Linked DNA regions of Schizosaccharomyces pombe. The gene in region 1 interacts genetically with each later gene. Each region holds a gene or a part of one and is shown in the gene's direction. Other genes may lie near its edges.

What was found. A genetic interaction does not mean that the proteins touch.
Region 2: mutations in nup61 (region 1) and mgr2 together harm fitness more than expected from each alone (negative genetic interaction), as found in Schizosaccharomyces pombe (one large-scale study listed by BioGRID).

Annotation. Positions count from the first base shown.
Region 1 is NC_003421.2:731,453-735,211, reverse strand, and holds the start of nup61 (nucleoporin Nup61), read left to right. Parts: upstream 1-1,970; 5' UTR 1,971-1,990; coding exon 1,991-2,109; exon of another isoform or gene 2,110-2,161; coding exon 2,162-2,460; exon of another isoform or gene 2,461-2,508; coding exon 2,509-3,740; 3' UTR 3,741-3,759. Other genes in the region: ism1 (isoleucine--tRNA (Ile) ligase), read left to right, coding at 1-1,791. UniProt on the Schizosaccharomyces pombe protein: Functions as a component of the nuclear pore complex (NPC).
Region 2 is NC_003423.3:1,569,545-1,572,560, reverse strand, and holds mgr2 (protein Mgr2), read left to right. Parts: upstream 1-1,641; 5' UTR 1,642-1,708; coding exon 1,709-1,742; exon of another isoform or gene 1,743-1,785; coding exon 1,786-2,114; 3' UTR 2,115-2,357; downstream 2,358-3,016. Other genes in the region: sua1 (sulfate adenylyltransferase), read left to right, coding at 1-1,076; SPOM_SPBC27.05 (uncharacterized protein), read right to left, coding at 2,489-2,815; septation protein Uds1, read right to left, coding at 3,000-3,016. UniProt on the Schizosaccharomyces pombe protein: Required for cell viability in cells lacking mitochondrial DNA.

The DNA of each region.
Region 1 (3,759 bases):
GATTATGGTCGATACACTAAAGAAGCTTTGGATGGAAGCCTTGAAGGATTGGAAGTTCTTGGTGATGGAGGAAAGAAAGTAATAAGTATTATGAAAAATCAAAATATGATTGTTAAGGTCTCTCCTTATAAGCACCGCTACCCTTACGATTGGCGAACACATAAGCCATTAATTTTACGGGCGACCCCTCAATGGTTTATATCATTGGAGAATGAAAGGAAAACTGCCATAAAAGCACTTGATAGTGTAAAAATGATTCCTCCAAATTCGCGCGCCAGACTTCTTGGTTTTTTGAATGGCCGTCCTGAATGGTGCATTTCTCGCCAACGGGCATGGGGTTTACCCATTCCTGTATTGTATGAGAAAGGAACTAAAATCCCCCTACTAACTGTGAAAAGTGTATCCTATATCATTGAGAAAATGGAAGTAGAGGGAGTTGATTCTTGGTTTAATGATACTGAAAACAATGGGCATGCTCAGTGGGTTCATCCGGATTACAGAAATAAGGAGTATATTCGTGGCACTGAAACACTTGATGTATGGTTTGATTCTGGGACTAGTTGGACTACAATAGCACCTCGTAAGAATAAACCGCTCATTGACCTTTGCTTGGAAGGAAGCGATCAACACAGGGGATGGTTTCAGTCACTTCTTCTCACATACACTGCCTACCAATCAAAACCAGAAGCACCGTTTTCTACTTTGTTTACGCACGGATTTATCTTTGATGAAAGAGGTCAGAAACAATCCAAGTCTTTGGGCAATGTAACCGACCCTGAAGATGTAATAAACGGAAAGCTTTTAAAAGGAAAAAAGCTTCCATATGGTGTTGATTTACTGAGACTTTGGGTTGCATCATGTGACAGTACGAATGATACTAACCTGGGACCGAACATTTTGACGCAAGTTGGTGAATCCTTAAAAAAGTGGAGATTAACATCCCGATTTTGTCTTGGGAACTTACATGACTGGAATACCTCGAGCTCAGTTGATGTTGGTGAATTACGTGGTATTGATAAGTTGGCTTTAGTCCAACTAGATAAATTTCAGACTGAAATTCGAGAACTTTATGAATCATATTCAATTAACAAAGTTGTTCATCATCTCAATTATTTTATGAACTCTTTCTTATCCTCTACATACTTTGACGCCGTAAAGGATCGTCTGTACGCTGATTTACCCAACAGTGTATCTAGGAGAAGTGTTCAAACTGTCCTTTATCATTCATTACTTACGCTCATTTGGGCCATTTCTCCCATTACTCCACTTTTGGCACAGGAGATTTGGCAAAGCTTACCCGATAGTTATTTGAATTCTTCTTACCAAACTCCTTTTCACGCTGGAGAAACACATCTTATAAGCAGCTTAAGGTCAAAAGTTGATTTACTTGATAGAAAATTTTTAATTAAGGAATACTTGGTTCTTCAACAACTTAAGTATAGTATTAATTTGTTGATTACCGCAGCTCGTGAAAATCTAACTATTAAAAACTCATTAGAAGCTTATGTCGTTATTAAGTCAAAATCTCAATCTTTATTGAGTTTTTTAAAAAATTACTCTTCCGACCTTCCTTTTCTGTTCAATACATCGAAGGTATTTATTAACGAAATTCCCGAAAATCTGAAATTAGCTTCCGTTACACAACCTGAAGTTCAGTTGGATTATGGGGTTGCAAATATCTCTTTATTTTTTTCAAATCAACAAAAATGTCTACGTTGCTGGATGCATACAGCTCATGAGGACGGATTATGTGACAGATGCGAATCTGTTTTGGCCCAACTGAAACGCTAAGAAAAAAGCTGAACGCTCTTTATTATGATAATTTTTGTACCATAGTCATTTATTTTTGTAATACTTAATTAAAATCAAGCGACAATTCATTTTTTGTATTATTTTATTTTACTGTAACATTAGTAAATAAGGAGACATAGTGAAGGCCATAAGTTTGGGTGGTTTTGGGGCTAACAGTTGACCTTCGCAAACTAGCAAAATGTCAAAACGCGGTGCTGATCATCAGTTAACTAAGGATCAAGATGATTCTGATGATGACCGTCATGGTCCAGTTGAAGTTCCTAAGGAGGCCTCCGCAGACGTGATGGCCACAAGAAAGTATGTAACGATGAAACATAGTTCTTCAATTTTTTAGGTACTAATGTATTAGAATTGCAAAGCCAAAATCTAGAAAAAGACCAACGAGCGGTGTTTCTTCTCCGGGAATTTTTGCAAATTTGGCAGCAAAACCGGTGTCTTTACCTGCATCGACTACGCAATTTACATTTGGAAAACCCGCGGTTACAGCTAATAATGATTCAGATATTCACTTGAAAAAACGCGGTCTTAATAAATCATTTATTGACGCTGTTATCAAAAGTGTTGACAATAATCCCTTTGGTAATTTGAGCCCTCTGTTTGATGAATACAGGCAGCATTTTTCAAGTATAGAAAAAAAGCCAGCAGAAGGTAATGCGTTTATAGTTAGTACTTCATTTCTTTCTAACGTTTTCTTAGAACAACCAACTTCAAATGCTGTTGTGTCTGAGGTAAATCCTCAGCAACAAAAAAGCCAAGATTCTTCTTCTTTTGTTACAGAAAAACCAGCTTCTTCAGAAAAAGAGGATAAGGAGAAGCCCCTTGTTCCCCCCGGTGCTCCTAGGTTCGGATTTTCTGCTCCAGCGCTTGGTAGCTCTTTCCAGTTTAATTCATCGGCTTTTACTCCTAAAGGGTCATTTGGTGAGAAGTCCGCAACAGAAGCGGAAGCGAAGGAGAAAGAAACATCTTCTAATCAAACTGCCACTGGTACTGCCGCTACCACAACCAACCAGTTTTCATTCAATACTGCCGCTAATCCTTTCGCTTTCGCTAAGAAGGAAAATGAGGAATCAAAACCATTAACTCCCGTGTTTTCTTTCTCAACGACTATGGCTTCTGCGGATGCTTCAAAAGAGACCAAACAAACCCATGAAACTAAAGATTCAAAGAGCGAAGAATCTAAACCCTCGAACAATGAAAAATCCGAGAACGCCGTTGAACCTGCCAAGGGAAATACTATGAGTTTTTCTTGGACTCCTGATAAGCCTATCAAATTTGACACACCTGAGAAAAAATTTACATTTACCAATCCATTATCGAGCAAAAAGTTACCGGCCTCTTCGGATGTGAAGCCTCCTAGCGCTGCGGCTGTCGGCTTTTCATTTGGAACTACTACTAATCCGTTCTCTTTTGCTGCTCCGAAATCTTCTTTTCCTACTTCTTCTACTCCAGCTTCTGTTGGCGCTGAAAAAAGTGAAGAAACTTCTAATGGAAACAAATCAGAGCAAGAAGAAAAGGAAAACGGAAATGATGAAACTCGATCGAATGATTCTCTAGTTTCTGGTAAAGGAAAAGGCGAAGAAAATGAAGACAGCGTATTTGAGACAAGGGCCAAGATATACCGTTTCGATGCTACTAGTAAATCTTATTCTGATATCGGGATTGGTCCATTAAAAATTAACGTAGATCGTGACACTGGCTCTGCTCGCATCCTTGCGCGTGTCGAGGGAAGTGGAAAACTTTTGTTAAACGTTCGTTTGTGCCAGGATTTTGAATACAGCCTGGCTGGTAAAAAGGACGTAAAAGTACCTGCTGCTTCTACTGATGGAAAATCAATTGAAATGTATTTGATTCGTGTGAAAGAGCCTAGTACTGCGGAAAAGTTATTAGCCGAATTGAATGAGAAAAAGGTCTCAAAGTCAGAGAACTAGAAAGCAGTGATTGATTCAG
Region 2 (3,016 bases), on another chromosome or scaffold:
ATGATCGCGCCCACCCTGCCGTCGACTACTTGTTTGGTCGTGCTGGAAATGTGTATGTTGGTGGTAAACTTCAAGCCGTTACTCCTATTCGCCATTTCGATTTCGTAGAGTACCGCTACTCACCTGCTCAACTTCGCTCTGACTTCCAGCGTAACAACTGGAATCGCGTCGTTGCTTTCCAAACCCGTAATCCCATGCATCGCGCCCATCGTGAGCTTACCGTCCGTGCTGCTAAGCAACACGGTGCCCGTGTGCTCATTCACCCTGTCGTCGGTATGACCAAGCCTGGTGATATCGATCACTTCACCCGTGTGCGTGTTTACGAGGCTATTCTCCAACGCTATCCTAAGGGTTCCGCCAAGCTCTCTCTTCTTCCCTTAGCCATGCGTATGGCTGGTCCTCGTGAAGCTTTATGGCACGCCATCATTCGTAAGAACTACGGTGCTTCTCATTTCATCATTGGTCGTGATCATGCTGGTCCTGGTAAGAACAGTCAAGGCGAGGATTTTTATGGTCCTTACGATGCTCAGTACCTTGTTGAACAATACGCTCAGGAAATCGGTATCACCATTGTTCCTTTCCAAATGATGACTTACCTTCCTGATGAGGACATCTACAAGCCAGTTGACAAAGTCGAACCCGGTACCCGTACTTTGAACATCAGTGGTACTGAACTTCGTCGCCGTCTTCGCGTCGGTGCCAACATCCCTGAGTGGTTCTCTTATCCAGAGGTTGTCGCTATTTTACGTCAATCCTATCCTCCCAAATACTCTCAAGGATTTGTTTTGGCTGTTCCTGCCACCTCCGATAAACTTCTCCCCAGCGCTCTAGTTTCAGCCTTGAACGAGGATGGTCGCCGCCATGTCACTCTTTTACCTCGCTTAGATGCTATTTCAGTGTTTTACGCCCAAGAATTGCAACGTGCTGGTGCTGCCGTTGTTGTTTCTCTGGCTGATGCTGATGCATCTGTTAAAGTACCTGCTGAGTGGACTACCGTAAACATCAAGCCCAAAGACTCTGTTTCTGAGGTTACTTTTGCTGTCCTTTCACAATTGTCTGACGAAGGCTATCTTTAAAATAATGTTTTTTGACATATATATATATATATATATATACATATATCCATTTTTGTTCTTTTATGTTCTACTTGTCTATTAAATAATAAAATAATTGCTGCAGGAATGACAACACTCCCTCATTAGAACTTTGCCATTTGTAGATGTAACTAAGAATGCAACTCAATTAAATTTCGCTAAGGACATGTTAGTAATTAATTAGCGATAGGCTTCTTAATAACAAAAGGTAGGAAATTCAATCCGAAGCCGAGGGGAATTAATTTATTATATATGTCAGATATACATAGCAGACTTTAGCAATTGCAATACATGCCAATGCAATGTTTTATTTTAATTCAGAAGTCATTATAACGTTAAGCCTATGCTCTCACTTAACGCATGCCTGGATGTAATACATTGTTACATTTACTTAAAAAAACTGGGCTTATAAAAAATATATATATAGGTTTTCTTTAAATTAACATTTCCTAAACTAAACTATTGATTTAACAAAAGAAATTGTTACATCTATTGTTATACCTAGGTATCCAATATAATAACTGTATACTACCTTACTTTTCCTACCAACAAAATCCCCCTTGAAACTAGTGCTCTCTATTTCTAAATAAAAGTAAGACCTTTAACTACTCAAAATGCAATCTATGCAACCTTCAACTGTGGATAAGCGTAAGTTCTATATTGTATGAATTCAGTCATTAACACTGAACAGTAAAAATGGGCGCCATTATGGGTTCAGCTGCTGGACTTGGCATCGGGTTTTTATTTGGAGGAGTAGCAGTTTTGCGCTATGGGCCTGGTCCACGTGGATTCTTAAGGACCTTAGGTCAATACATGTTAACATCTGCGGCCACTTTTGGCTTTTTCATGTCCATCGGCTCTGTAATTCGCAACGAAGATATACCACTAATACAGCAGTCAGGCTCACATTGGAATCAAAGATTATTAAATGAAAATGCAAATTCCAGTCGTATTTTTGCCTTGGCTATGCAACAGGCCAAAAGTTCTCCACGTAAATCAAATGAAGTTGCTGAGTGCTAATTTCGTTTAATCCGATTATAATAAAAGTATCATACTATCATTTTGTTAGTATATGAGGTACAATATTTGTTTCTCCTGAATTCTGAGTTAAAGATGTACTGATGATTGTACTATCATGCATTTAAACTAAAAAGCTTTGGCCGCTACATCAAAGGACTTTTGCATTTTTCTGATAGTTCATGTTTAAAAAAGTCTTTATACCATATTGTTAATATTTTGATGGCGATTTAATTTTCCTTAAAATTTTTACGATTTAAAGATTTGGGTAATTTGCTAGGTGGTAAATTGGTAAATTAGTTTGTTTCGATGAATAATATTTGTAGCAATAGTTACAAAAAATGATCGAAGACAAGCTATTACAAATAAGCTAATTATTATTTGATCATAAAGATATTTAGAAACAATACTTGTGCCTTAAAACTTGCAATATCAATAATGCTTGTCATAAGGAAGATTCGGTTACATATGGGTTGAAGATACATATGCTCATTAGTATTATTAAATGTATTATATATGCTTGATGTTATCACTTCTTTAGATGCTAATTGTAATGTAAATGCGTCTGTTGTCTCTTTTTGTACACGCATTATTAGTTGGTATCTTATATAAAACTTCGATTCAATCTCCAACTGGTAAAGCAAAATGCAATTAATGCCAGAATAAAATAAATATGCAAGTCCATAAACCGTTGTATGCACCATTCATAAGCAGAATTTACTGCGTTCATAAAGTTGCGAAAGCATAGTCTTCAAAATCTTTCGTTTGCTTCTTAGCCAAAATTCAAAAAAAAACTTGAAAGCACCTGCAAAAAGGTCCAAGAAGGAAAAAAGTTTATAATCGGAACATCTTCCTTATACAGCTGCAAATTTAGAAGATCGTATTTGGTTATGCTGCAGAAGTAG